Linked DNA regions of Macaca mulatta. The protein of the gene in region 1 interacts with the protein of each later gene in a biochemical or structural test. Links are inferred from orthologs where the notes say so. Each region holds a gene or a part of one and is shown in the gene's direction. Other genes may lie near its edges.

Region 1 (4,099 bases):
GCAAATTTCTGCAGCCAGCTTGAATTCCTCCCCAGAAAATTGGTTTTTATTTTTTACCACATGGCCAGGCTACAAATTTTCCAAACTTTTATGTTCTGCTTCCCTTTTAAATATGAGTTCTAGTTTCAGATAATCTCTTTGTGCACATATATGAACACATGCTGTTAGAAGCAGCCAGGTCGCTTCTTGAATGCTTTGCTGTTTAGAAATTTCTTCCACCAGATACCCTAAATCATCTGTCTCAAGTTCAAAGTTCCACAGATCACTAGAGCAGGGGCACAGTGCCACCAGTCTCTTTGCTAAAGCATAGCAAAAATTAATGACCTTTACTCCGGTTCCCAGTAAGAAGTTCTTCTCTGAGACTTCTACAGCCTGAACTTTATTGTCCATATCACTATCAGCATTTTGGTCAAAACATTTCTACAAGTCTCTAGGAAATTCCAAACTTTCCCTCATTTTTCTGTCTTCTTTTGAGCCCTCCAAACTGTCTCAGCCTTTGCCCATTACCCAGTTCCAAAGCTGCTTCCACATTTTCAGATATCTTCTTGGCAATGTCCTACTTCTCTGGTACCAATTTACTGTATTAGTCCATTCTCACACTGCGATAAAGAACCACCTGAGACTGGGTCATTTATAAAGAAAAGGTTTAATTGGCTCACAGTTCTGCGGGCTGTACAGGCTCCTGCTTCTGGGGAGGCCTCAGGCAACTTGCAGTCATGGTGGAAGGGGAAGGAAGCACATCTTACATGACTGGAGCAGGAGGAAGAGAGTGGGGGAGGTGCTGCCCACTTAAAAAAACATCTTGGGAGAATTCTACCACAAGACAGTGTGAGGGAGATGATGCTAAACCATTAGAAACCACCCCCATGATCCAGTCACCTCCCACCAGGCCCTTCCCTCAACACTGGGGATTACAATTCAACATGAGATTTGGGTGGGAACACGAATGCAAACCATATCAGTTGTTTCCTAAACATAAATATATTAGCTCTTGTTCAACTTTTGAACTGTTGGGTTTGTTTCATAGGTATTCTCCCATGTGCTGTTCTGTCAGTGTGTCCTTGTTTCTGTGAGCTTAGTTTGGTAATTCTCCCTCTTCTCCTTGCTTAAAAGGGCTGAAGAGCTAGTCAGTAGGTTTTATAAATCTGAGCAGTGTCAGGGTTTCTTCGTCGTCTTCCAGGGCTGGGCCCTGGAGTCTGACTTTGTCCTGGCTTACCAGCCACTGTTTCCTTCATCCATGCCCTTCAGATCTCAAGGGGTGCTCTGTGTGTCTGTATGTGTGCTTGTGCAATCTTCTTGACTTTTCCTTACCAGAAGTTTCAAGAAGTAGATGTGACTTCTCCAGAGAAAGATATCCTTTTCAATCTCCCTTATACGATAAAGGCCATCTCTTAAAGAACTACTGAATAAAATTTGTAATTTACTTTTATTTGACCCAGGCGGATGGTGCTACAAGTGATGACCTTGATTTGCATGATGATCGTCTGTCCTACCTGTCAGCTCCAGGTAGTGAATACTCAATGTATAGCACGGACAGTAGACACACTTCTGACTATGAAGACACAGACACAGAAGGCGGGGCCTACACTGATCAAGAACTAGATGAAACTCTTAATGATGAGGTTGGGACTCCACCGGAGTCTGCCATTACACGGTCCTCTGAGCCTGTAAGAGAGGACTCCTCTGGAATGCATCATGAAAACCAAACATATCCTCCTTACTCACCACAAGCGCAGCCACAACCAATTCATAGAATAGACTCCCCTGGATTTAAGCCAGCCTCTCAACAGGTAAGCAGCAAACATTCAACGTTTTGTAGATAGAGGTGCATTATTAAATTTTAGAATGTGGTGATTGAGTTAAAAATATATATGTTGTCCTTTCTCCAGATTAAGAATTAATCTTCAATTTCAATTTGAGAGTACCAAGGACTTAATTCTAAATTTTGTGTGTTTGTCTTAACACAGCAATGTACTGGATTTTTTTTTTTTTCTGGAAAGTTTAGGACATGAGGTCATAGTTTTATTATTCAGCACACTTAAAATGTATGTCTACCAATCACTATAAATTGAAGTGGGAAGTTAGCAGTAAACAGAAACACTATATTTAAAATATTTTAAACACTTCACAGAAAGCAGAAGCTTCATCTCCAGTCCCTTACCTTTCGCCTGAAACAAACCCAGCATCATCAACCTCTGCTGTTAATCATAATGTAAATTTAACTAATGTCAGACTGGAGGAGCCCACCCCAGCTCCTTCCACCACTTACTCACCACAAGCTGATTCTTTAAGAACACCAAGTACTGAGGCAGCTCACATAATGCTAAGAGATCAAGAACCATCATTGTCGTCGCATGTAGATCCAACAAAGGTACCTGTGCTGCGGTGTTGCACTCATTTGTTGCTCTCCATCAATCTGGCACATGATCATTTTTGCTTTGCCCTTTAAGTGTTTCTTTTGCTTTTTTACTGCGGGCTTGTACACTGTAATGCTTTCAAATCAATACAAATCATTTCAGTTTTGTAGTTTGCATGGCTTCCATTGGTATACTGATTATTTGAAAACAGGCCTTTTAATTGAGATTTGTGCTTATTGTTTATTATTTTTATTTTTGGCTTTCAGTATCTTCCAGAATTCCTTAATACGTAATTGAAACCCATCATAAACATATTTATGTTAACACAGATTATGATGCCCATAAATTTTCTTTAGGATTTTTCAGTGTCAAAATGAAGTGTAATCAACAGTTTGGTGCATTAATTTTCTACTAAATTTAATATTTATCTTAACTCACTGTTTAGTACATGCTGAAACATAAAAGCCCCTACCTGCATTATAAATTTTGAGCTTTCACTTAAACCAGCATTTTCCACTAATCTTGTCTATCCTGATAATAAATGGTAAAACGTACCATTTTCACATATTAAATCATAGTTTAATATTTAATCATAGTCTAATAAAATAGACTAAAATTAAAAACAAGACTTTGTCCTTAAATGTGAATTTTTTATACAGGTGTACAGAAAGGATCCATATCCCGAGGAAATGATGAGACAAAACCATGTTTTGAAACAGCCAGCCGTTGGTCACCCAGGGCACAGGCCAGACAAAGAGCCTAATCTGACCTATGAACCCCAACTCCCATACGTAGAGAAACAAGCCAGCAGAGACCTTGAGCAGCCCACGTACAGATACGAGTCCTCAAGCTATACGGACCAGTTTTCTCGAAACTATGAACATCGTCTGCGATACGAAGATCGCGTCCCCATGTATGAAGAACAGTGGTCATATTATGATGACAAACAGCCCTACCCATCTCGGCCACCTTTTGATAATCAGCACTCTCGAGACCTTGACTCCAGACAGCATCCCGAAGAGTCTTCAGAACGCGGGTACTTTCCACGTTTTGAAGAGCCAGCCCCTCTGTCCTATGACAGCAGACCACGTTACGAACAGGCACCTAGAGCGTCTGCCCTGCGGCACGAAGAGCAGCCAGCTCCTGGGTATGACACGCATGGTAGACACAGGCCGGAAACCCAGCCCTACCCTTCAGCAGGGCCCAAGCCCGCAGAGCCCAAGCAGTATTTTGAGCAATATTCACGCAGTTACGAGCAAGTCCCACCCCAAGGATTTACCTCTAGAGCAGGTCATTTTGAGCCTCTCCATGGTGCTGCAGCTGTCCCTCCGCTGATACCTTCATCTCAGCATAAGCCAGAAGCTCTGCCTTCAAATACCAAACCACTGCCTCCACCCCCAACTCAAACCGAAGAAGAGGAAGATCCAGCAATGAAGCCACAGTCTGTACTCACCAGAGTTAAGATGTTTGAAAACAAAAGATCTGCATCCTTAGAGACCAAGAAGGATGTAAATGACACTGCCACTTTTAAGGTAAATATGTCTTTCCTGCCTTGGATGCATAGGCACATGGTTTAAAAGGCTTCTTAGCTCTCCCCTCCCCCATTACATGATATCTATTCTGTAATTATCTGTTCCTTAGGCATATTTGTCTTTTTTTTTTTTCTCCTAAACAGCCTCCAGAAGTAGCATCTAAACCTTCAGGTGCTCCCATCATTGGTCCCAAACCCACTTCTCAGAATC
Region 2 (4,099 bases), on another chromosome or scaffold:
GGTTCACAACAAAGTGGGGAGCACCAATGTCAGCACTTTAGTAAATGTCCACTGTGAGTAGCTGGGAGGGCAGGGACGGGGACAGAGAGCGGGAGGGCAGGGACGGGGACAGAGAGCAGGAGGGCAGGGACAGGGACAGAGAGCGGGAGGGCAGGGACAGGGACAGAGAGCGGGAGGGCAGGGACGGGGACAGAGAGCAGGCGGGCAGGGACGGGGACAGAGAGCGGGAGGGCAGGGACGGGGACAGAGAGCAGGAGGGCAGGGACAGGGACAGAGAGCGGGAGGGCAGGGACGGGGACAGAGAGCGGGAGGGCAGGGACGGGGACAGAGAGCGGGAGGGCAGGGACGGGGACAGAGAGCGGGAGGGCAGGGACGGGGACAGAGAGCGGGAGGGCAGGGACGGGGACAGAGAGCGGGAGGGCAGGGACGGGGACAGAGAGCAGGGCCCTGGAGGGCCTGGGGCAGAGTCGGGGACGGCTCCATGAATGGGGAGGTAGCAGGGCAGGAGGAAGAAGATTGATTGGAGTTAACCCCGTGAGCTTGAGACCCTAACGAGTGGCTTCTTTCTCCCTCACAGTCGCCCCCCGGATTGTAGTCGACCCCAAACCCACAACTACAGACATTGGCTCTGATGTGACCCTCACCTGTGTCTGGGTTGGGAATCCCCCCCTCACTCTCACCTGGACCAAAAAGGACTCAAACATGGTAAGACTCTTACTGCCTATTCTGAATGCTGGGAGGAAGGGGTGTGGCCACAGATGGGAGTAGATGGGGGGCTGCAGCATCATCTTTGAACCTGGGCTATTTCTAGGGTCTTGGGATTTGAAGGAGAAGGTGCTTACAGTTATCCCCACCTCTTCTCACAGGACTGCTGCCCAGTTCAGAAGCACTTGGGGGACAAACTCAGCTATGCATGGGAAGCAGGGTGGGATGGGAGGAAGGGAGAGGGCCTGGGATGGGCCTGCTGCAGTGGCAAAGGTCTGGTAAATAATGCTGCACAGGGGGGTGGGGAAGCTGAGGCGATTCGCTAGAGAAGGCTGGAGTCTATAGCTCTGCAGAGATGCCCATTAGACCATTTGGGCCAGAACTGCAGGAAGAGGAATCTCAGAGTAAAACGTCCTACTTCATTTGGCAATGAAAACATGACAGATCATCAGAAGAGGCTGCATCCTCCTAAAATGATTGCAGCCTTCACCCGCCCTCTCTGGCCTCCACCCCATCCCTGCCCACTCTTGCAGAGATGGGGTATTTACGTGCCAACCTGTGTAGAGTCAGAGCATGGACCAAAATGGACTCGGGAATCCCTTTTCCTTTCTGGGAATTCACTTGTGGCCCTTCCTGCTTTCTTTCCAATGCCTCCGATGTGGGGCCCTCATGGACCTAGGGGCCCAGGCCTCCTGGCTCCCCACCCGAGGCTGCTCTCTCTGCCCAGGTCCTGAGTAACAGCAACCAGCTGCTGCTGAAGTCGGTGACTCAGGCAGACGCTGGCACCTACACCTGCCGGGCCATTGTGCCTCGAATCGGAGTGGCTGAGAGGGAGGTGCCGCTCTATGTGAACGGTGAGTCAGTGGCCTGAGAGGCAGCCGGGCCTGGGTGGGCGGGCACTGAGGTTTTTAACTGGTTCTGATGTGTGTCTTCTTGCTTGCAGGGCCCCCCATCATCTCCAGTGAGGCGGTGCAGTACGCTGTGAGGGGTGACGGTGGCAAGGTGGAGTGTTTCATTGGGAGCACACCACCCCCAGACCGCATAGTGAGTGGTGGGCCTGCCTGCGGACAGCCAGCCCTCCCTGCTTCTTTGCCCAGGCCCAGTCTCCTCTCACCTCTGCTGGTTTTGCTCCTTCAACTTCCCTGTCCCGTTTCCATCTTCGAATCTTCTGCTTTCTGTCCCTCTGTCCCTTTACCTGCTCAAATCCCACCTCCTCCCTTACTCGTTATGTGTCCCTGAGCAGATCACTTAATGTTTTGAACCTCAGTTTATTCATCTACAAAACAGGGCCAGTAAATCCTACCTAATAGAGTTGCTGTGAGAAGTCATGGCAGCAACAGGTATGAGACGCCTAGGCCAGCACTCAATTCATGTTAGTTCCCCGCTCTCTCCCCTGGGCTAACACTTCCCCTCTTTTCTCCCTCATCTGCCCTGTCATTGACCTCCTGCTCTTTTCCTTGTTCCCTCCCCTTCCCTGTCTCCTCCTCCTCTGGCTCCTGCCCTCTCCCTCCCATCCCATCAGTTCTCCTGCCTGCCTGGCCCACTCTTCTCTCCCTCCTCTTGCCTTCCTCCTACCAGCCCCTTTGCCTTGCCACTCTCCTCCCTCCTTTCTCCTCTCCCCCACACCATGAGCCATTAATTCCTTCCGTGACCATTAACTGTCAAACCCCTCATCACATTTAATGACCATTTGGCTAACTCCAGGGCTGCCCAGGGACACTTCATTACCACGGCTGCCCGGGCAGCAGGCGGCTGGGCTCCCGGGGGGCTTTCCTTGCAGATCTAGGAGGATTGATCCCTGGAAAGGAGCCAGTTCTCGGCTGCTCCCCTCCCCTTAGGCTCCACTCTGAGGAAGGGGCCACGCAGGGGAATGGCCCAGCTGAGAGGTCAGGGACGGAACGGTCCAGGGATACCCCGTTGTGGGTTCTGCCTATTATAAGTCTGTGGATCAGTCTCAGAGCCAGTCAGGCAGGTCGTGTGGGTTGGTTAACGTTATGCCTAAAGATTGAGTTACGCTTAGTTAGAATCACAGACTATCAGAGCTGAAAGAAATCTTGAGCATTGTCTGGCCCTAGCCTGGTTCTGTCATTGTATAGATGAAGAAAATGAGGCCTAGAGAGGGACGGGGAGGCCACACAGGAGCTCGATGGGCAGAGGAGCCCAGCGTTGTTGAGGACCCATGCAGAACTTTTTCTACAACATCTGGGGCTCCCAGTGTCGGTTCATTGCATCAGCTGCATCCACATCACATGTGATCATTATGAAAACAGAGATTCTCTTCCTCCCTGGAGATTCCTATGTAGGACATAAGTCCCAAAAATCTACATTTGAAAGAATCTCCCTAGGTAAATCTGATGTCAGCCATGCTTGGGAGCCACTGCTCCTCCTTGAGTGGAGAGTCAGTGCCGAGGGTGTGAGGCAGCAGGTGTGACTTAAGTTTGTTACAGGGAGGTGTTAGGCTGGACTCGTGGGGCACACATGGCACATAGGGGTGAGGGTGCCTTGAGGGTGGATCAGGGGACACGTGGGCATGGGCTTCTGCCACCTGCCCCTTTCTTACCTCCTTCCTGCCCTCTCCACTGCAGGCGTGGGCATGGAAGGAGAACTTCTTGGAGGTGGGGACCCTGGAACGCTATACAGTGGAGAGGACCAACTCAGGCAGTGGGGTGCTATCCACGCTCACCATCAACAATGTCATGGAGGCCGACTTTCAGACCCACTACAACTGCACCGCCTGGAACAGCTTCGGGCCAGGCACAGCCATCATCCAGCTGGAAGAGCGAGGTGACTGGCAGTGCTGCCTGCCAGCTGGGGTGCAGGGAAGCCTGAGGATTCTGCTCCCTCTTTTCTCCAGGGGCAGGGCTCAGCTGCTCCCCTTCCCTTGGGCTCTGCTCTGAGGGAGGTGACACACAGAGGGATGTCCCGGCTGAGAGATAAGGAGTGAAGGGGTTTGGGGCTACTCCCGTCTGATTCCTGCCTATTATAAGAGTGTGCATCAAGGAAAGAACTCTCTTGGGCCTTCCCACCAGAACCTGGCCTCCATATGCTCAACTGGGGAAATTCCCTCACTTTGTTAAAGTGTATTGAGCATTTGCTGTGTGCCAGGCTCTGCCCCAGGGTCTGCAGGAAGAGCCGTGAACAAGACACAGTCCCTGACCTCAAGAAACTTTCAGTGTAGCCGGGCGCGGTGGTTCAAGCCTGTAATCCCAGCACTTTGGGAGGCCGAGACGGGCGGATCACGAGGTCAGGAGTTCGAGACCATCCTGGCTAACACGGTGAAACCCCGTCTCTACTAAAAAATACAAAAAACTAGCTGGGCGAGGTGGCGGGCGCCTGTAGTCCCGGCTACTCGGGAGGCTGAGGCAGGAGAATGGCGTAAAAACCCGGGAGGCGG
Region 3 (4,099 bases), on another chromosome or scaffold:
AGGAGCTACAACGAAAGCTGGATGAAGAGGTGAAGGTGAGGAAAGGTTAGAGGTGCTGGAGACATGAAGGAAAACAGGGAAAAAGCCTTGGCCTGGAGATGGGCTGAGCTGACTCTTCCAAGCAATGGAACAAGCATGTTTGTGCCCTAGGAGACAAGACACAAGAGTGTGTACTAATTCCAGCAAGGACTTCTGGGTTCTCTGGGGGTTAGGGAGGCAGAGCACATCAGGAATCTTCCTACCTTCCATTCCACTCCCTTTGGTAGTTCCCATCCTGGCTCTGCCCCTTACTAGCTGTATAAAACTTAAGAAAATTACTTACATTCTCTGTGCCTCAATTTTTTTTTTTCATCATCATAATGGCAGTGGTAGTAGCTATCATTTATTGAGTATAATTTTGGTAGTATGTACTGTCCTGGGTACTGTAATCATTATAGTTACCCTATGAATACCTATTCTGGACCCTTTTCTGATGAGAAAACTGAAGATCAGAGAGGCTAAGTAAGTTGCCTATGGTAGTAAGTTGCAGAGAGGAATGAAAAAATCCAGGTCAGTCTTATTCTAAAGCCAGTGTACCCTTTTTAAAAACATGTCTTCTGCCTTTCAAAATACTGGTTTGTGTGTAGTTGGTGCTCAATAAATGCTGGATTGTAACTTCCCTTGTCTCTTGGAAAGCCCTGTAGTGTAATGATTAAGTGGTTAGCTGTGGAGCCAAACTAACTGGGTTCATATCCTGGTCCTGTTACTTTTTGGTTGTGTAACTAACCTTGGGCAAGTTCTTTAAATGTTCTAAGCCTCTGTTTCCTAAATTGTAAAGTGGGGATTATGATAGTACTATATTAATTAACTATTGCTGTGTAACAAATTACCCAAAACTCAGCAGCTTAAAACAAACATTTTCTGGCTGGGCACGGTGGCTTACACATGTAATCCTCTGGGAGGCCGAGGCAGGCAGTTCACCTGAGATTGGGAATTTGAGACCAGCCTGACCAGCATGGAGAAACCCTGTCTCTACTAAAAATACAAAATTAGCCCGGCGTGGTGGCACATGCCTGTAATCCCAGCTATTTGGGAGGCTGAGGCAGGAGAATTGCTTGAACCCGGGAGGCAGAGGTTGTGGTGAGTCGAGATGGCGCCATTGCACTCCAGCCTGAGCAACAAGAGCGAAACTCCGTCTCAAAAAAAAAAAAAAAAAAAAAGCATTTCCCAGTGTCTGAGGACCAAGAACCTGGGATCAGCTTAACAGAGTAATTGTGGCTCTGAGTCTGTTATAAGGTTCCAGTCCAGCTTCTGGCTGTGGCCAAAAGAAGTAAATTGGAGGATCTGCTTCTAAAACGGCTTACTCAGGGCCAGGCATGTTGGCTTACGCCAATAATCCCAGCACTTTGGAGGGGCAAGTTGGGAGGACCACTTGAGCCCAGGAGTTTGAGACAAGCCTGGGCAACATAGTGAGACCCTGCCTCTACAAAAAATAAAAAAAATTAACCAAATGTGATGGCATGCACGTGTAGTTCCAGCTACTTGGGAGGCTGAAGTGGGAGGATTGCTCGAGCCCAGGAGGTTAACACTGCACTAAGCTAGGATTGCACTGCTGCACTCCAGCCTGGGTGCCAGAGCAAGACCCTGTCTCAAAAAAATATAAATGAATGAAACAAACAAAACCAGCTTAATTGGCTGGGTGCAGTGGCTCACGCCCGTAATCCCAACCCTTTGGGAGGCCGAGGTGGGTGGATCACCTGAGGTCAGGAGTTCAAGACCAACCTGGCCAACATGGTGAAGCCCTGTCTCTACTGAAAATACAAAAATTAGTCAGGCGTGGTGGCAGGCATCTATAATCTCTGCTACTTGGGAGCCTGAGGCAGGGAGAATTGTTTGAACCTGGGAGGCAGAGGTTGCAGTGAGCTGAGATTGTGCCGCTGCGCTCCAGTTTGGGCAATGGAGTGAGACTCCATCTCAAAAACAAACAAACAAACAAAAAAACAGGCTGGGCGCTGTGACTCATGCTTGTAATGCCAGCACTTTGGGAGGCCGAGGTGGATGGGTTACCTGAGGTCAGGAGTCTGAGACCAGCCTGACCAACATGGAGAAATCCTGTCTCTACTCTAATAATACAAAAATTAGCCAGGTAAGGTGGCGCATGTCTGTAATCCCAGCTACTTAGGAGGCTGAGGCACGAGAATCACTTGAACCCAGGAGGTGGAGGTTGCGGTGAGCCAAGATCTCGCCATTGCACTCCAGTCTGGGCAACAAGAGCGAAACTCCGTCTCAAAACAAAACAAAACAGAACACCAAAAACAAAACAAAACAGAACACCAAAAACAAAACAAAACAAAACAGAAAAACCTGGCTTAATCAAATGGCTGTTGGTTGTTGACCTCAGTTCCTGGCTGTTTGGCCTTCCTCCTAGAGCTGCTTTTGAGTATCCTCATAATATAACAGCTACTTTTTCCCAGAGTGAGGGATCCAAGAGAAAAGCTGCAATGCCTTTTTATGACCTAACCTCAGAATTTACTCATCACGTCCTCCTTTTACCGTTTGTTAGAAGGAAGCCCCTAAGTCAAGCCCGTGCTTGAGGCAAACAGAATTAGGCTTTATCTTTTTTTGTTTTGTTTTGTTTGTTTTGTTTTTTTTGAGATGGAGTTTTGCTCTTGTTGCCCAGGCTGGAGTGCAATGGTGTGATCTCGGCTCACTGCAACTTTGACCTTCTAGGTTCAAGCAATTCTCCTGCCTCAGCCTCCGGAGTAGCTGGGATTACAGGCATGTGCCACCTCGCCCGGCTAATTTTGTATTTTTAGTAGACACGGGGTTTCTCCATGTTGGTCAGGCTGATCTCAAACTCCCAACCTCAGGTGATTGACCAGCCTAGGCCTCCCAAAGTGTTGGGATTATAGTCGTGAGCCACCGCACCCAGCTGGCTGTATCTTTTGAAAGAAATGTCAGATAATTTGTGGACATATTTTACATCATCATAAGTACCAAGGCTAGTTATGAGGATTAAATGTGGATAATACACATAAGGTCCTAAGTACAGTGTCTATCGTACAGCAAGTGTCTAATGAGTGTTAGACATACATTCCCATTATTCTGAGTCTGAGAGGCTTTCCCTACCCTCCATCTGCTGTACTCTCATTCCCTTTTTCAGAGGCGGCAGAAGCTAGAGCCATCACGAGTTGGGCTGGAGCGGCAGCTGGAGGAGAAAACAGAAGAGTGCAGCCGACTGCAGGAGCTGCTGGAAAGAAGGAAGGGGGAGGCCCAGCAGAGCAACAAGGAGTGAGTGCAGCTGATGGCGCACTTTGGGCTGCTGGGGGGCTGCTTGGGGTCGTAGGCCAGGTTTAGAGGCCACTCCCTCTTTGCCCCTAGGGTTGAAGGAGACAGAAGGAAATCTCCGGAAGCTGAAAGGAGCAGTGTTGGTTTAAGGACAGGATAGGGCCTTTCTCTCTACCTTCTTTATCAATAATGGTGGTAGTGCATGATTTTGAGTTAAGCTACCTGGGTTTGCCTCTGTCTCAGATTCTTAAACTATAAAATAGAGTTAATAATAGTACCTACCTCACAGGATCACTGTAAGGATTCAGTCATCCATTCAGCAGATGTTTCATCAAGAATGCTGTGACAGGCATTAATCTAGGTTCCTAAGGCACATCAGTGAACCCTACAGATGAAGGGCTCGCTCTCCAGAAGCTTAGTTTCTACTGAGAGGGAACAGACAGTAAACAAACATATTATGCAAGTAAATTTGTAACACATGAGAAGGCAGTAGATACAACAGGGTAAGGCAGGTCAGGAGGGTCAGGTTGTAGGGGGGCAGGTTGCAAAAATCAGGGGAGGCCTCATCGAGATTTGAAGGCAGGAAGTTTAAATGCATTAATAAATATGAATTAAAATATATGATGTGTTTAGAAAACTGCCTGACACATAGTGTGCAATAATGTTATCTATTATTAGGCTCCAGAACATGAAGCGCCTCTTGGACCAGGGTGAAGGTTTACGACATGGGCTGGAGGCCCAGGTGATGGAGCTGCAGAACAAGCTGAAACAGGTCCAGGGTCCTGAGCCTGCTAAGGAGGTGTTACTGAAGGTAGGGTCTGGGGTCATATGC
Region 4 (4,099 bases), on another chromosome or scaffold:
TTCTCCCTCTCTCTCTCCCTCCCTCTTCCTTCCTTTCTCTCTCCCTCCCTCCCTCTCTTCCTTCCTTTCTCTCTCTCTCCCTCCCTCTCTTCCTTCCTTTCTCCCTCTTTCTCTCCCTCCCTCTCTTCCTTCCTTTCTCCCTCCCTCCCTCCCTCTCTTCTTTCTTTTCTCCCTCCCTCCCTCCCTCCCTCTCTTCTTTCTTTTCTCCCTCCCTCCCTCTCTTCTTTCTTTTCTCCCTCCCTCTCTTCTTTCTTTTCTCCCTCCCTCCCTCTCTTCTTTCTTTTCTCCCTCCCTCCCTCCCTCTCTTCCTTCCTTTCTCCCTCCCTCCCTCCCTCTCTCCTTTCTTTTCTCCCTCCCTCCCTCCCTCCCTCTCTTCTTTCTTTTCTCCCTCCCTCCCTCTCTTCTTTCTTTTCTCCCTCCCTCCCTCTCTTCTTTCTTTTCTCCCTCCCTCCCTCCCTCCCTCTCTTCTTTCTTTTCTCCCTCCCTCCCTCCCTCTCTTCTTTCTTTTCTCCCTCCCTCCCTCCCTCTCTTCTTTCTTTTCTCCTCTTCTTCCTTTTTGTCTGCCTTCATTCCTTCCAAATATTCTCCAAGGGGATAAAACTACTGATAAAAATAATGAAGTATATTATATCAGTCTTAGCTTTTGGTTGCTTTGACAGGGATGGGAAGGAGCAAGGGCTGGCTTTTCTTTTCAAATTTAAAAAAATTCTAGAATTGATAGAATCAACAATCCTATAAACCGATACCAATTAAGATTTTCCTAGGCCCTAAGCTACTTCCTGGTAGTAACTGACTCTTTAAAGGGAGTATTTATTGTTGGCTGCTGCAGTGAACTCGCTTGTGACTTAGGAAAGTGCATTAACCCTTTTACCAGGGAGGCCTGCCCTTCATTTATAAATGATGTTTCCTAGGAATTAGAAATACCTAGACTACTTAATACTACCATGTGTTATGAACTTTAAAAAATGCTCACTGCCTTCCTAACTGTACTACTTTCATGGTTAAAAAAAAAAAAAAAGGAACTTCCCTGTGTGTGTTTTATCTTTGTTCTTCTCTGTCAAATTAAGCAAAAGTCTAGCTTAAACTCCTTGAAGTCATGGAGATTTTTAAGTTCATAGTAAAGATAGAAAGTCTCAAATTTTTAAAAAGGAAAGACAAACTTGAAGCTAAAACTGGAGGAACAGGGTTATTTAAAAAGTCTACTTATACATCTATGGCTTAAAAATACATATTTTTGCATCCACAAATAGCAATTTAATACTGTTTCCAAACTGGATACTGGAGAATATTCCTGTGAAGCCCGCAATTCTGTTGGATATCGCAGGTGTCCTGGGAAACGAATGCAAGTAGGTAAGCATGAAATATTGGGAGGAACAAATGGTTTTCAATTAGACTGTGAATTCCAGCATTTGGGGGTAGAAGGAGCAAGGAGCAGGACATGTCTGAGTGACTTGAAGGATAAACAGGAGAGAATGATTAAAATTAACTTGATATGATGTGTTGCAAAGAAGCAAGGATGCTGTTTTTAAGCCATCTCCCAAATAAGCCAAAAATACTTAGTATTGTAGTTAACCACTGTTTTTAGTTTTTTAAATAATTGTTTTTAAAATACATTCTTCTGGGTAATCTTTCTCTCGATTAAAAGCTAAGTATCTTGTAGTCTAAATTGTTGAAGGTCTAGAAGTTTGAATTTCTGATATTTTTAAAATTCAGGAATGCATATCATTGATATTAGCCACCAAATTAATTCAGGTGTTGACATTTACAGTCAACATAGCAGTTATTTAAGTAATCAGAAAGTATCCCTTTCAATGCTGCTTTGAAATAATCATTTAAAAAATTCATCACAACATGTTTAAAAATTAAGGCATTGTTTTCTTAGTTTCATTTATTCACATATGTCCTCATGGGTTTTTCTTTTGTTGTTGTTGTTTTTGGTTTTTGTTTTTTTGAGAAAGAGTCCTCCTTGCCCAGGCTGGAGTGCAGGGTTGTGATCTCGGCTCACTGCAACCTCTGCCTCCCAGGTTCAAGCAATTCTCCTGCCTCAGCCTCCCAAATAGCTGGGATTACAGGCGCACCCACCGCACCCAGCTAATTTTGGTATCTTTAGTAGAGACAGGGTTTCACCATGTTGGTCAGGCTGGTCTCAAACTCCTGACCACAGGTGATCCACCCACCTCAGTCTCCCAAAGTGCTGGGATTACAAGTGTGAGCCACCGCGCCCGGCCTGTCCTCATGGTTTTTGCCATTACCTTGTACTACCAGCACAATTTCTGTTTATTTTTCCTTCCATTTAAATGGTCCTGTTTACTTTAAACGTCTACCTTTGCCTTCTCTTAAGGAATCATATCCGGGAAGTCATGGTTTTGATGTATTAGTTACTTTTTCTTAGCACACAATAAATACGTAATGAATAAAATTTAAATGTTTGTTTCTCCATGAGGACCACTTTAATTTGGACATGATTCTCACATATCTACTCTTTCTAAATACAAGTTAGCTTAGAAGTTAAAATTAGTTTGTTTAATGCTCATCCATTGATCCGAGGTGTTTTGCGTCCTTGGTTGGGACTTACATCTTTTGAAATACATACAAATTCATAAATTCATTTTTTTGGTTTTCTTTGTGAATTATAACTATTTTCACATGTAACCAAAATTAGAACATGTTAACTCTCCTAAGACATTTTTTCAAAGTGCAGGATTTGTTGGTTGTTTTTTACGGACTCACTGTAAAACTCCAGCAGGCTCTACTCACACTCAGCCTTTCAGCAGTTTAGTTCCTTTTCTTTCAGTCAGAAAAATGGTACTTTCCTTTTATAGAGACTTTTCCAAAAAAAAAAATCACAAAATATTTTCATCTTTAATGTTACATTTTCTCTACACTGAGGCATAATATGGCTGTATGACTTGCTCAACATCACAGAAAATGGTGAACAGGATGTAAGAAGTTAACTTACTCCTAATCTGTTACTCCTCTATCTCCCATTTCATTGAAGAAAAATAACATAAAATTCATACCACGACTTAGCACTTACAGGACAATTTTTCGTGTTAATCCTTCCTTCATAGATGTTAAATTCATTGATAAACTACAAGACAGTTTTTTTTGGTCAGATAATAGCCCTTACTTTGAACGCTTCATAGATGTCAAATTTATTGACTACTACAAAGTAAACAGAAGGCACACTTTGGTTCTCAGGAATTTCACTTGTTGATTTGACTTTGCCTAAGATTATGATTACTGTAGATTTTTTCTCTATCTGCTCTTTTTAATCCAAGTAAATAAAAAGCCGAATCTTACTGACCTCTCAATACCCAAGCAAACTGAGTTTTTACCAAGCAATAATTAATGTTTTCTACTCTGGTCAAATTACTTAACCTTTCAAAAGATTTATCAAGTTTTCTTTTTAAAAAAAAAAATCAATTAATATTTTGGAGGTATTTAAGAAAATTAGTAACACAATTGGCATTAGGAAAGAATTTCAAGACCTGAAGTTTTTATAAGCAGATTCACTTAAACAGTATCTCTAAAAAGATCATTTCCAAAATGTACATTGCTTTAAAATATTTAAATTATTTTTGAGAAAATGCTACCTAATATTTTCTCTAGGTTATTTAATCATATGCTAATTAAAACTTGTTTTTTAAAATGGGAACTCTTTGAAGAATTGCTCCTTTAATAAATACATGGCAAGTATCTAAATGGCAGAAGAGTGTGGCTCATAAAATCCTTATGGACAAGATGGAGAAATATGGTCCAAACAATGTTTTGGTGGATCCACACGCAGTTGAATCCCATGCTCAAAGAATGTTAATAAATTGTGTTGTATGACGGGAGGTGTCTACTAGACTGTTGTTACATAGTTCTTTCCTAAACAAATGCATGTTCATCATGTTATTAATGACTTGAATGAGAGTATTTGTAATAAAATTCTCAGTTTGCAGAAATGTTAAGCTTGGAAGGTTTATGTTATTATTAATAATTTTTTATTAATTATATTATTAATAATACATTATAATTAATGTATTATTGGGCAACAGAATCAATCTGGGAAGAATCACAGTAATTATTTCCAAACTTGGGTTCAAAACATCCA
Region 5 (4,045 bases), on another chromosome or scaffold:
ACTGGGCACACAGCCACCAGTGCTGGACAATGGTGGCAGCTCAGGGACACACTGGAGCCCCGGCCCCTGCAGAGTTCCCAGCAGGGTTTGGATGAGAGATGCAAAATGACCACACGGCGGGTGAGGAGGGGCTCCCTCGGTGCTGCGGGGATGAGCCCTAGACACTCTCGATCACCCCCACGATGACCCCTTCCCAGAGGTCCCCTCAGTCATCTGCCCTGAACCAAGATCTTCCTGATCCTAGACCCTCCTCCCTCCCTCCATCTCCCAGGGCTCGGTGACATTCCGGGCAGAAATTTCTGACTCTTTTACTCTGGAACCTCCCTCCCCAGCCCAGTCTCTAGTCAAACTGGATTCCTGGCTGTTCCCAGAACAAGCTGCCCTTCCCCACCTTGCCACCTCTGCCCTTGTTCTCTCTGCCCGAATGTCCTCCTTCACCAGTCTCGCTGCCTTGCACATCTCTCCTAAGGGCTGTGTTCCCAGAACGAGCTGCGTTTGTTCAGCCTGGCCCACCGTCTACCAGAATGTCCTCCTTCAGCCAGTCCCGTTGCCTTGCAAAACTTTTCTGGGGGACCCGTTCATGATGCCTTCTGTGGCATAATCCAAGAATCCAGTGCCCCCAGGAGTTGTGCCACCCAGCACCCCTTTGCAGTCAAGCTCCCCCAGCACCACACCTCCCCACCCCGGAAGAGTTCCCCTTCCCTTTGAAATCTCATGGGACTTTGCACCCACCCTGGCTTTATTGGAAGGCTTTGTATGTCTCCACAGGGTAAACACCCATTTACTGGGGTGATGATGTCTCCAGGATCTAGTTAATGTTTGTCGTCGTTGGTGACCAGCCCCACCCAGTTCTGGGCAAGCAGGGTGGCCCCTGGCAGGAACAGAGCCCACCAGACTAAACTTCTGTGGAGGTGGAGAGGGGCAGGCTTCTGTCTCTTTTTGGCTAAAGGTGCATCATATCCAAGGCCCCTCTTCTAGCCAAACAGAGAAGCCGGTGATAGAGATGGGTGAGAGTGGGTGATGTACCCAGGAGTCCCGGCTTCCCGGCTCCTCACTCCCCTACACGTAACTTTATCCAGCCAGTGCCGCAGAGGCTGCTGGTGAGGCCAGATGCATGAATGATCATAATCACAATAGCAGTGAAACTGCCAGTGATGAAACTGATAAGGACAAGAAAGGACAGTAATCAAGGTGCGGTTTCTCGTGGATGTTTCCAAGACTGCATCCTCAAACTCTCTCCCTGAGGGTCTCCACCCTGTCCTCCCACCTAAATCTAGAATGAGGGGACCCTGGCTTGTGGGGACCCTGGTCTTCAGGCTCCCAAACCTGGCTGGTCTGGCTGCCCCCTGGCCTTGCCCTGTGAATATCCAGCTGTCCCTGGGCTGTGATTCAGTGTCTGTCTCCCGGGTGACCTCAGCATGGGCTTTGAGGAAGGGGAGAGGGTAGTTTCTTCTGAGACTGGATAGTGACTCAGGGACCAGGGGCAGGGGCCTCAAAAGTGCCTTTGTTGGCCTGGGCTCAGGAATCCAGAGAAACTGGTCAGGAGGAGGTCCCAGTGATGAAAACCCCTCCCTCTGCCCCCGCCCCTCTGCCAGAGCCATATAACTGCTCAACCTGTCCTGAGAGAGAGAGTGCCCTGGCAGCTGTCGGCTGGAAGGAACTGGTCTGCTCACACTCGCTGGCTTGTGCATCAGGACTGGCTTTTTCTCCTGACTCACAGCGCAAAGGAGCTCTCTGTGAACGTTAAGTCCGTCCCCAGCGCTTGGAATCCTACGGCCTCCTCAGCCGGATCCCCTCAGCCTTCCAGGTCCTCAACCTCCGCGGACGCTGAGCGATGGCCTCCATGGGGCTACAGGTGACGGGCATCGCGCTGGCCGTCCTGGGCTGGCTGGCCGTCATGCTGTGCTGCGCGCTGCCCATGTGGCGCGTGACGGCCTTCATCGGCAGCAACATCGTCACCTCGCAGACCATCTGGGAGGGCCTGTGGATGAACTGCGTGGTGCAGAGCACCGGCCAGATGCAGTGCAAGGTGTACGACTCGCTGCTGGCGCTGCCGCAGGACCTGCAGGCGGCCCGCGCCCTCGTCATCATCAGCATCATCGTGGCCGCTCTGGGCGTGCTGCTGTCCGTGGTGGGGGGCAAGTGTACAAACTGCCTGGAGGATGAGAGTGCCAAGGCCAAGACCATGATCGTGGCGGGTGTGGTGTTCCTGTTGGCCGGCCTGCTGGTGATAGTGCCCGTGTCCTGGACGGCCCACAACATCATCCAAGACTTCTACAACCCGCTGGTGGCCTCCGGGCAGAAGCGGGAGATGGGTGCCTCGCTCTACGTCGGCTGGGCTGCCTCCGGCCTGCTGCTGCTTGGCGGGGGGCTGCTTTGCTGCAACTGCCCACCCCGCACAGACAAGCCTTACTCTGCCAAGTATTCTGCCGCCCGCTCTGCTGCTGCCAGCAACTACGTGTAAGGTGCCACGGCTCCACTCTGTCCCTCTCTGCTTTGTTCTTCCCTGGACTGAGCTCAGCACAGGCTGTGACCCCAGGAGGGCCCTGCCACTGGCCCCTGGCTGCTGGGGACTGGGGACTGGGCAGAGACTGAGCCAGGCAGGAAGGCAGCAGCCTTCAGCCTCTCTGGCCCATTCGGACACCTTCCCAAGGCCGCCTCCTGCTAGCAAGAACAGAGTCCACCCTCCTCTGGATATTGTGGAGGGACAGAAGTGACAGGGTGTGGCAGTGGAGTGGGGAGCTGGCTTCTGCTGGCCAGGATGGCTCAACCGTGACTTTGGGCTCTGCCTGCATCGGTGTTGGCCACTGTCCCCATTTACATTTTCCCCACTCTGTCTGCCTGCATCTCCTCTGTTCCGGGCAGGCCTTGATGTCACCTCTAGGACTGTGCCTTGCTCACCGAAACCCGCACCCAGGAGTATGGCTGAGGCCTTGCCCACCCACCTGCCTGAGGAGGGCAGAGTGGATGGACGGGTTTGGAGGGGAGGGGTGAAGGCTTTGTAAACAGGTTTGGGCAGTGGTGGGGGAGGGGGCCAGAGAGGCCGCTCAGGCTGCCCAGCTCTGTGGCCTCAGGACTCTGCCTCACCCACTTCAGCCATGGGCCACTGGAGACTGATCCCCCTGAGTCCTCTGCCCCTGCCAAGGACACTAACCAGCCTGGGAGGGTGGCAGGGAGGAGGGGCGGCTTCACCCTCGGGAGTCCTGGGGTTCTTCCTCCTCCTTCTTCGTGGTTTCTGTTTTGTAATTTAAGAAGATCTATTCATCACTGTAATTATTATTATTTTCTACAATAAATGGAACCTGTGCACAGGAGGAACTTGTATTGTCTCTGATTTCAGCTGTGGAGGTGGGTGGGGCAGGGCTGGAGGCCTAGGCAGGGGGTAGGTGAGGGGCAAGGCCGCTGTGTTTTGGCCAGTACATGAACACTTAAAAAAAAAAAAACGACGAGATCCAGGGAACTGTGAAAAACTGGAGCTGGGCTGGGTGTGGCGGTGAGCACCTGTAATCCCAGCACTTTACTAGGTCGAGGTGGGAGGATCGCTCGAGGCAGGAGTTTGAGACCAGCCTGCCCAACATCGTGGCGCCATCTCTCCAAAAAGTTTAAAAAATGAGCTGGGCCTGGTGGCTCATGCCTGTAATCCCTGTACTTGGGGAGGTTGAGGTAAGCGAATTGCTTGAGCCCAGGAGTTTATGAGGCCGCAGTGAGCTTTGATCGCACCACTGCACTTCAGCCTGGGTGACGGGGCGAGACCTTATCTCTTAACAACAAAAAAAAATGAAACGGGCCTCCAAGGTGTCACCTTAAAAAATAAATTAAATGGGCCTCCAACGTATCAAAGTTTTAAAAAAAAGAAATGGATCCCCAAGCCATCACCTAAAAAAAAAAATGAGATAGGCCCCCAAGGTATCACTTTGTCCAGATGGGGGCCCTTCATTGGTTGGAGGGTAAACCCGTATACAGGAAACAGTGTATGCCTGGGACCCCAGTGAAGGGTTGGGGACCCTAGGAGGGAGGTGCCCACATACGCTCCCAGCTCTGAGGT
Region 6 (4,677 bases), on another chromosome or scaffold:
CATTTTTCAGTTCTGTCAATGACTCCTTTTTCCCAGTCTGACAATTAAAGATTAAAAATATCTTCTGTTTAGATGTCATTTTTCCTTTTGTGGATTGCACAAAAGGAAAAATCTTCAAGCTTTACTTCATTTTCTTTTCTTCTTCACATCATAAAAATGATCTTTTCTTTGAAGTTTTACTTTCTCTCTGCTTCATCGGACTACCTTAAATCCAAATATGGGAGAAAATGTTTTCTGCTCACTTCTTAAATCTTATTTTCCCAAGATTAATCTAAGTCCCCCTCCACCACAAATCTGTAATGGATAAAAACTTGATGAAGAAAATGCCGCATATGTTCTACGTCAGCCTAAGGGACACCCTGAAATTTAGCACCTAGCAGGTCAAGAAGTGAGAAAATTTCTGTAAATATTAAGTTTTAACTTTTTATTACATTTATTATGTCTGTTTAACAAAATTATAACAACTCAGACTACTATGCATCCTACTTCTTTTTTAGAAGACGGTCTACTTTATCCTCCTTTTGCCCTTTCTACCATATAGTTTTTGTTTTAATAATATCCATAAATGACTCAGATTTTTTGAACCATGAAACTCACAAAGTTTAATTAGTGAGCAGAAAAGATTTTCTCCCATATTTGGATTTAAGGTAGTCCGATGAAGCAGAGAGAAAGTAAAACTGTAAAGAAAAGATCATTTTTTATGATGTTAAGAAGAAAAGAAAATAAAGTGCAGCTTAAAGTTAGGAAAGATCAGACAGAGAGCTCAAGGTGATCTCCAGAAGAAAATTGCTGGTGGAATTTTCTCAGATAAACATTTATGCTTAGTATAGCACCACTGTTAGATCATCATTATTTTGAGAAGAAAGTTCACATTGTCTTGCATTTAGGGATTTCTATGTCCTACTGCAGACATAATATTAAAAGGTTGGAAAACATATTTGGTTAATACCTAATATAATACAGTTTAGTAAATATAGTTCCCTTGTCCTGTAAATATTTTATTTTGAAATATTGGCCATTTGCATAGACCCAAGGGTCTTGAGACATCTTCAGAATTCTCGTTCCTTCAGCCCAGGAAGACAAAGCAGCAAGAATAGCACCACAAAATAAGCTCATAAGCTTGCTTAAATGCTATAGTCCTGGCTACATAAGATAATTATCTGGTGACTTTTATTTTGGCAATTTTTTTTTTTAATAAATGAAGATTATCAGAAAAGTGCCAATGAGTAATTTTTCTGCCTTAAAGAACCCCGATATGTTTTAAGTGCCAAGGAGAAGGACAGCCTTGTGTATTTAATTACTTTAGTTTGTTTTGTCCTCTGGCATGATCTGTTCCCTGATTTCACCAAAGTAGAGCTTGCTTTGAAGTTGTAGAAAAATTAAATCAATCACTTGGATCACATGTGTCCCAAAGAATGTGGTTTCTCAGGTAAAAGCAATCTTTCAATCCCCTGCTCTCGTTTCACTTTGGCATTTCAACAGCATTGCAAAATTCTTCGGCAGATATTTTATTTTATCCCTTGGTCCCAGCAGCTTTTACTAAGAGTTTCAGAATTGCCTGTACAAGGTGCACCTTTCACATTACAAGGGATTGGCTCATTTCTTGATGCTTATGCAACCATTTATAACTATGCCTACAGGTAAACATACTGCTGTCTTCTCGGAAGACCGAGAAGTATAAAGAATGTTTATGTGCAGGTCTAGCCGTTACAAGTACCCAAGTGTTGGTTTAGACACACCTGGGTTACCATCCACCTTTTATTGGCTGAGAAAGTTGCCACACCTGATTTGTAAGTTTACCTGTTGCAGCCAATAACAGGGCCATCTCAGCCAGCCAGCACTGGATACTATCTGGCCAGAAGTAGCAAAGCAGCTCTTATTTGAAAAGCCACTGGGTTCTGAGTTCATTACTACAGCAAAAACTGTTCTCTTCTGTGGCACAGAGAACCTTGCTTCAAAGCAGAACTAGCAGCTCGGGAGTCCAGCTGACTAAAACCCATCCCAGGGGATAATGGCAACCCATGCCTTAGAAATTGCTGGGCTGTTTCTTGGTGGTGTTGGAATGGTGGGCACAGTGGCTGTCACCGTCATGCCTCAGTGGAGAGTGTCGGCCTTCATTGAAAACAACATCGTGGTGTTTGAAAACTTCTGGGAAGGACTGTGGATGAATTGCGTGAGGCAGGCTAACATCAGGATGCAGTGCAAAATCTATGATTCCCTGTTGGCTCTTTCTCCGGACCTACAGGCAGCCAGAGGACTGATGTGTGCTGCTTCCGTAATGTCCTTCTTGGCTTTCATGATGGCCATCCTTGGCATGAAATGCACCAGGTGCACGGGGGACAATGAGAAGGTGAAGGCTCACATTCTGCTGACAGCTGGAATCATCTTCATCATCACGGGCATGGTGGTGCTCATCCCTGTGAGCTGGGTTGCCAATGCCATCATCAGAGATTTCTATAACCCGATAGTGAATGTTGCCCAAAAACGTGAGCTTGGAGAAGCCCTCTACTTAGGATGGACCACTGCACTCGTGCTCATTGTTGGAGGAGCCCTGTTCTGTTGTATTTTTTGTTGCAATGAAAAGAGCAGTAGCTACAGATACTCGATACCCTCCCATCGCACAACCCAAAGAAGTTATCACATGGAAAAGAAGTCACCGAGCGTCTACTCCAGATCTCAGTATGTGTAGTTGTGTATGTTTTTATAACTTTACTATAAAGCCATGCAAATGATTAAAATCTCTATTATTTTCTCAAAATGGACCCCAAAGAAACTTTGATTTACTGTTCTTAACTGCTTAATCTTAATTACAGGAACTGTGCATCAGCTATTTATGATTCTATAAGCTATTTCAGCAGAATGAGATATTAAACCCAATGCTTTTATTGTTCTAAAGTACAGTAATTTGTTTTCTAAGATGATTCAAGCGCCCACTATTTTTATCATTTACTTCAAAATGACATTGCTAAAGACTGCATTATTTTACCACTGTAATTTCTCCATGACATAGCATTATGTTCATAGATGAGTGTAACATTTATATCTTACATAGAGACATGCTTATATGGTTTTATTTGAAATGAAATGCCGATCCATTACACTGAATAAATAGAACTCAACTATTGCTTTTCAGGGAAATCATGGATAGGATTGAAGAAGGTTTCTATTAATTGTTTAAAAACAGCTTAGGGATTAATGTCCTCCATTTATAATGAAGGTTAAAATGAAGGCTTTAATCAGCATTGTAAAGGAAATTGAATGGCTTTCTGATATGCTGTTTTTTAGCCTAGGAGTTGGAAATCCTAACTTCTTTATCCTCTTCTCCCAGAGGCTTTTTTTTTTCTTGTATATTAAATTAACATTTTTAAAAAGCAGATATTTTGTCAAGAGGCTTTGCATTCAAACTGCTTTTCCAGGGCTACACTCAGAGGAAAGATAAAAGTGTGATCTAAGAAAAAGTGATGGTTTTAGAAAAGTGAAAATATTTTTTCTTATTATGTTTTTGTATTTGAAGAAGAATGATGCATTTTGACAAGAAATCATTTATGTATGGGTGTATTTTAATAAGTATTTGAGTACAGACTTTGAGGTTTCATCAATATAAATAAAAGAGCAGAAAAATATGTCTTGGTTTTCATTTACTTACCAAAAAAACAACAACAACAAAAAATAAAGTTGTCCTTTGAGAACTTCACCTGCTCCTATGCGGGTACCTAAGTCAAAATTGACATTTTTGTTCTGTGAAAAATAAATTTCCTTCTTGTACCATTTCTGTTTAGTTTTACTAAAATCTGTAAATACTGTATTTTTCTGTTTATTCCAAATTTGATGAAACTGACAATCCAGTTTGAAAGTTTGTGTCAATGTCTGTCTAGCTTAAATGAATGTGTTCTATTTGCTTTATACTTTTATATTAATAAATTGTACTTTTTTCTAATTATTTGACATTCTTTCACTAGTCTCCTTTTATTTCTGTTTTATTAACTTGTAGAAGAGTTTTGAAAAACCTGATATTTTTTATTCTCCAAATTGAGAAAGAATGTCAAGGTTGCCTTGTAAAGATTAAACAGAGCACTAATTTTTGAAAATATAAATTACTCTATGTTATTTAACAACAATATACCTTATAATCATTGGATTCCTATACCAATATTCAATGCAGATAACATATTTATAATTTAAGATAGTACTATAAATTCAAACAAATCTATATGTTATAAATATTATGTATATAACAGCCACATTTGAAAAATTTACTGTAGCTAAATATATATTTCTACTTCTGAGAAATAATAAATAACAGTTGCTAATGTTCTGGGGGCATGTATTACATGCTAGGACCTCTACTGCTTATATGAATTATATTATTAAATCTTTTATGAGACTGATAATATTATTAGTTCAATTCAAAGATGAGGCTATCTCGGAACAATTCATTGATTACCCAGTAGAATCAGGAGATTTAAAAAAAGAGCTGCCTGACCTCATAGCTCAATACTGTTTCTCTGAAGGAAACTGAAATTTTTTTCAGCAATGTCTAGTTTAGAAACTAATTTTTATATGTTAAAATGACACGCTTAACTACTATGAGTTGGGAAAACTTATAGTTGTCTTTTAAAAATTTTTTTTAAATTGAAACAGAGTCTCAGTCACCCAGGCTAGAGTGCAGTGGTGTGA
Region 7 (4,702 bases), on another chromosome or scaffold:
CTTCATTCACACTGACAGGCACCCACAGAACATCCACCGAGACCTAGAAAGTAGTACTGACTGCAGGCCCAAACCCTGGGATACAACAGGGACATGGTCTTGCCCTAAACAGCTGATAGGAGAAAGACAGCATTCACTGTGTTAATCTTAGTCCAAATTAAATGTCTTCATCTAACTCCTGTTTTACATTCTTCAGTGCTTGTCCCCAAATCCTAGCACAGCCAAGTCCTTTAGTGGTAAGCCTACACGAAAGGCATCCAGGGAGAGCCAGGTGGAAATGAAGGTGGTGGGGCTTGGCCTTTCCTCCCATTCCCTCCTTGAGCATTTGCACCTTTCCTTCTCTGTCACCCACTAGCAGTTGCCATGGTATATAAGAGTATATCTTGTTTTCTCCTTAATATGTTTATTTCTGCTTCCAAGGTGCTTCTGTTTTTACTAAAACCATAGAAGCTTCCCCTCCCACCACACTCGCACCACGCACAAAAAGCAGTGGGAAAACACTTCAATTATTCCTAACCACAGCAGCACTTCTGACTAACTACAAAGAAGGAAGCTTTAGAGAAGCATAGAGGGAAACTACAGTCCCAGCGAGACCGAAACCGGAGGGGTGACATAGCCAGTCACAGCAAAAGCTGGAACCAGAGCCCAGACTTCCTCAACTCCAGCCCAGTCCTTCTTCCACTGGGAAACGCTGTTTACATGCCCTCACCTGTGACGAACAGCATGTGATAACTCACAAAATTAACATCTTTCAGGGAGAGCGGGGCACCGACCAGGTCTCTCTGATAATGAATTGCTGCCTAAGACATAACTGCTGTGGGCAGGAGGTTGATGTTTGGCGGGGGAGGGCTAGGCTGCATTTTCGTAAGGACAATAATACATCAAAAAGGACAATCAGAGATCAAAGGGGGTATTTTTGGGTCAACTTGATATGTAGTGGAAAGCAGATTGGGAGGGGAGCCAAGTACTGGATATGCTGTGTGTGTGTGTGTGTGTGTGTGTGTGTGTAAATCATGTTCCTCTCTGGGTCTGTTTCCCAATTTGTAGAGTGTAAAGATCTCTCTCTTGCAGAGACAAGTAATGGAACGACCTTGACAGAAGGGAGCAGAGAGATGAAAGGAGAAGGGGGAGGAAGCCAAGTAAAGGAGAGAGAAATGTGTGTGATGGGGGAGGAGATGCGGAGTTGGGTGGAAATGCCTTTTAATAAAATAATAGGAAAAAGGTATTAAACCTAAAACTGCAGCTCTTGAGGGCTCATTTTTTCATCTTTGTTTTTTGGATTTACAGGTACAGTGCATAGTAATTTTTGGATAATTGGAGTGAATGAATGAAAAGCGCGAAACGCCTGACAGGAGCGGGAAGATCCACCAGAGAAAACGAGCAGGGACGCAGCTGTAGTGCCTGGTCCTGCGGGATGGTCCCCACGCCACCAGCCGCGTGTTCCCCCAACCCGGCGCTCCCGGCGCCCTCTCGGTGAGCCGCCCTGAAACCGCCAGGGGGCGCTCCCCGGCTGCCGGGGCCGAGGCGGGCGGAGCTGCTTTAAATCGCGGCGCCCAGCGGTTTGGCGTCTCAGTTCCTGAGCCTGGGAGCAACCGCAGCTTCTAGTATCCAGACTCCAGCGCCGCCCGGGCCCCGGACCCCAGCCCGGACCCAGAGCTTCTCCAGCGGCGGCGCAGCGAGCAGGGCTCCCCGCTTTAACTTCCTCCGCGGGGCCCAGCCACCTTCGGGAGCCCGCGTTGCGCACCTGCAAACTCTCTGCCTTCTGCACCTGCCACCCCTGAGCCAGCGCGGGCGGCCGAGCGAGTCATGGCCAACGCGGGGCTGCAGCTTTTGGGCTTCATTCTCGCCTTCCTGGGATGGATCGGCGCCATCGTCAGCACTGCCCTGCCCCAGTGGAGGATTTACTCCTATGCCGGCGACAACATCGTGACCGCCCAGGCCATGTACGAGGGGCTGTGGATGTCCTGCGTGTCGCAGAGCACCGGGCAGATCCAGTGCAAAGTCTTTGACTCCTTGCTGAATCTGAGCAGTGAGTGCACCCCACCTCCCAGCCGTCCAGAGGCCCCAGTCCCCCTGCAGCTCCCTTACCGTCTCATTCTGTCCTGTGATTCCATGGTTATCAGTCTTCAGTTGATCAAGTCTTCTGATCATGTGCTCTGTCGTAAGGAAATGAAGAGAATCCTGGTCTGAGAAAAGGGACGCCCAGGCATAAGCTCTAGTTTTGCCTAAAACTCCCTGGGTGATACTTTTCTGCCACTCTAGGTGTGGCTTCATCCTAAATTCCTATGCCGGGGGGTCGAGATTGAGGGAGTGAAGGCTAAACTTGAACTTGAGCTCTGAGACCTCTCCTAGGCATTCTGAGATCTGGGGTAAATTGAGGATTGGTAGGGTTCAGACAAGAAAAATGGGATGGCTTAAAAAGTTTGGAGCCTGGTAACTTCTCAAGTGTGCAAGCTTAAATAAATAATCCTCAAGTATGAGATATAATTTTTGTAACCTTTACTATGATTTTGCATAGTAAAATTTACATTCCTACTTGAAATGTCCCAAGTGTCTTCTGCTCATACTTGAGGATGATTCTTTTAATGTGTAAGATCTAGTTAGTGCAGGGAGGCCCCTTGCAAGACTCTGGAGAAGCCGCTTGAGATTCCCCCAAAGTTTGAAGTTTTACACCCAAGGTCTTCGGTGGAGGCTGATGGTGTAGTTCTATTTTGGAAAGAGAAGGTTGGTGGCAAGTGGGGGAAGGCTGACAACAAAGGTTCTAAATAACCTGCCCAACATAATACAAAGGGAAAAGTAAAGGCACTCAAGGGAAATGCAGCAAAATAGTCATAGCTGATGAAATCAGAGGTCAGCTGGGAGTGGAAGGCAGTGAGAGAGAAAGAAGAGGTGGGTCTTCCTTAGGTTTCCATCTTCCACAAAGGAATTTCTGTGTAATGGATGTTCAGTGACCCCTTGTCACGTTGGAAAGGATTGTATAGAGAGACATATTTCTAAGGATGGTGGGAAGAAGGATAATAGGATAATTTTTAACTTTTTTTAACTAAAGGTTTTGAGTGCCTTGTCAGAAAAATCATTAAATTCCCGTTTACTTAGGTAATAATGATTCATGGCTGGAGTATCTTCCTAGAGAAATCACATTACTTGTCTTATATCATGTGTCTGTTATGCCCTTTAACTCACTTGAAGAAAAGGTCCCTTAGTCTTTGCCTAGATAAACGTGACTGCCCACTAGCCCCCATTGTGTGCTAAGGGTGGAAAGTGTTGGCATTGTTCAAGTTTACTTAACTTGTTTTGTCTACCTCCTATCAATGGACAACTTTTAATAGTGTATATCAAAAGCCATATAGTTTAGAGCTATTAAACCTGTTCCACATCTGTTTAAACACCTTGAATACCTGTGGCATTGGCTCAGTCAATGTGCATGGTCGTTTTGAGTGTTAGGATTTCAGCTTCTGAAGGTTCCCATGTTAGGACTTCTTTACACCAAAACCAATCTCTAAGTTTAGTAATTATGTGTTGCTCATTGCCCTCATGGGTTATATTTGTGCTTATAAAGTGAAAAATTAGGTAATAATTATTGAATTTCTCCATGGAAAGATAGATATATTTAAGGAAACGGTGTCAGGCATTTTAGGTAGCACGTTAAGGAATTGGCAGACGGAGGTTTCTAAGGACAATTCCAGAGAGGCCTCACTGTCAGTTTTGTTCCTCTGATCAAAATAGTTCCTTTCAACATCTTTAAATAGGTTTTCTTTTAACTTTCCTGAAATGACCACATGAAATCAGATTGATCCATGTTGTAAAAACTCAAAGGGATCACCCTTACACACGATAATGTGTTAAAATGTTTTGCTTTCATTTTTTGGTTAATGTAGTTATCACAGTTTTTAAAACTGCGGTGAAAGGACTAAATAGCTATTCCCCCACATACACTTTAGAGGTGTCTTCTTAGTTGTTTTTTTTAAACTCCAGATCAGAATCCACTTTTGTTTTACTTAAAGCCAGAGTTTATCCAAGGTGTGGCTTACACCTTTCTCTCAAAACCCATTCTCAGAAGAGGGACCCTGGACTCGCAGGTTTTCTCTTCGAACCTGCCATGACTCGCGGCATGCTTTTGGATGGAGTCCAGGAAACCTCACTCCATTTCTCTGCCTGAGCAGTGGTGTTTACGCCCACCAGCTGTAGAGATCTGGGATGGTGATTCATTGGCCGGTTTTGGGATAGTTTTGTTACATGTGGAGACGAAAAGGGTTATGTGTGTATATTTAAGCAGTATCCCTCATAAAAAAGCTGCATTTCATTAAGTGTGTTTAGGTGAAAAGCTTAGCTGTGGGTTTCCTGAAATTGTACCTTGCTGTCTTTCCCAGTAGAGAACACTTGTCTTCGAGCCCAGATGCAGGGCTTTGCCAAGGCTTTAGCACTGGAGGTATTAAAATCTCTTGTTTCCCTGGTTTATGTAGGGTAGGTTGTAAAAAGCATATGACCTTCATAAAGTAGCTGAAGGAATACAGTGTGCTAATAGTGTATACAGTAAATACAAAATGAGATACAGCAAGTCTTCTTCTTTTAGGTAGTTCTTGGCAAGCAGTTTATGAAAATGTAACTGAGGAACTTCCTGGGGGAAACAAATGTCACATTGTGTATTGTAGTTTTACAATGGCTGATACAATTTCCATTTCATCCAAAGTATGAGATTTTA

What was found.
Region 2: the proteins of TJP1 (region 1) and KIRREL1 form a complex in vitro, tested with the Homo sapiens proteins (3 studies listed by BioGRID and IntAct, with this or other methods). The link is inferred for Macaca mulatta from reciprocal best matches to the Homo sapiens genes TJP1 and KIRREL1.
Region 3: the proteins of TJP1 (region 1) and CGN form a complex in vitro, tested with the Homo sapiens proteins (2 studies listed by BioGRID and IntAct, with this or other methods). The link is inferred for Macaca mulatta from reciprocal best matches to the Homo sapiens genes TJP1 and CGN.
Region 4: the proteins of TJP1 (region 1) and JAM2 form a complex in vitro, tested with the Homo sapiens proteins (2 studies listed by BioGRID and IntAct, with this or other methods). The link is inferred for Macaca mulatta from reciprocal best matches to the Homo sapiens genes TJP1 and JAM2.
Region 5: the proteins of TJP1 (region 1) and CLDN4 form a complex in vitro, tested with the Homo sapiens proteins (2 studies listed by BioGRID and IntAct, with this or other methods). The link is inferred for Macaca mulatta from reciprocal best matches to the Homo sapiens genes TJP1 and CLDN4.
Region 6: the proteins of TJP1 (region 1) and CLDN8 form a complex in vitro, tested with the Homo sapiens proteins (2 studies listed by BioGRID and IntAct, with this or other methods). The link is inferred for Macaca mulatta from reciprocal best matches to the Homo sapiens genes TJP1 and CLDN8.
Region 7: the proteins of TJP1 (region 1) and CLDN1 form a complex in vitro, tested with the Homo sapiens proteins (2 studies listed by BioGRID and IntAct, with this or other methods). The link is inferred for Macaca mulatta from reciprocal best matches to the Homo sapiens genes TJP1 and CLDN1.

What each region holds. Positions count from the first base shown.
Region 1 is NC_133412.1:8,697,029-8,701,127, forward strand, and holds part of TJP1 (tight junction protein 1), read left to right. Parts: intron 1-1,439; coding exon 1,440-1,790; intron 1,791-2,131; coding exon 2,132-2,371; intron 2,372-3,016; coding exon 3,017-3,889; intron 3,890-4,032; coding exon 4,033-4,099. UniProt on the Homo sapiens protein: TJP1, TJP2, and TJP3 are closely related scaffolding proteins that link tight junction (TJ) transmembrane proteins such as claudins, junctional adhesion molecules, and occludin to the actin cytoskeleton.
Region 2 is NC_133406.1:108,862,757-108,866,855, reverse strand, and holds part of KIRREL1 (kin of IRRE-like protein 1), read left to right. Parts: coding exon 1-53; intron 54-577; coding exon 578-705; intron 706-1,384; coding exon 1,385-1,559; intron 1,560-1,648; coding exon 1,649-1,749; intron 1,750-3,290; coding exon 3,291-3,489; intron 3,490-4,099. UniProt on the Homo sapiens protein: Required for proper function of the glomerular filtration barrier. It is involved in the maintenance of a stable podocyte architecture with interdigitating foot processes connected by specialized cell-cell junctions, known as the slit diaphragm.
Region 3 is NC_133406.1:115,557,615-115,561,713, reverse strand, and holds part of CGN (cingulin), read left to right. Parts: coding exon 1-35; intron 36-1,144; exon of another isoform or gene 1,145-1,637; intron 1,638-3,142; coding exon 3,143-3,270; intron 3,271-3,945; coding exon 3,946-4,078; intron 4,079-4,099. UniProt on the Homo sapiens protein: Probably plays a role in the formation and regulation of the tight junction (TJ) paracellular permeability barrier.
Region 4 is NC_133408.1:21,799,207-21,803,305, reverse strand, and holds part of JAM2 (junctional adhesion molecule B), read left to right. Parts: intron 1-1,250; coding exon 1,251-1,350; intron 1,351-4,099. UniProt on the Homo sapiens protein: Junctional adhesion protein that mediates heterotypic cell-cell interactions with its cognate receptor JAM3 to regulate different cellular processes. Plays a role in homing and mobilization of hematopoietic stem and progenitor cells within the bone marrow.
Region 5 is NC_133408.1:51,328,655-51,332,699, forward strand, and holds CLDN4 (claudin-4), read left to right. Parts: upstream 1-1,494; 5' UTR 1,495-1,834; coding exon 1,835-2,464; 3' UTR 2,465-3,314; downstream 3,315-4,045. UniProt on the Homo sapiens protein: Can associate with other claudins to regulate tight junction structural and functional strand dynamics.
Region 6 is NC_133408.1:17,283,418-17,288,094, forward strand, and holds CLDN8 (claudin-8), read left to right. Parts: upstream 1-1,785; 5' UTR 1,786-2,011; coding exon 2,012-2,689; 3' UTR 2,690-3,940; downstream 3,941-4,677.
Region 7 is NC_133407.1:8,337,858-8,342,559, forward strand, and holds the start of CLDN1 (claudin-1), read left to right. Parts: upstream 1-1,537; 5' UTR 1,538-1,806; coding exon 1,807-2,029; intron 2,030-4,702.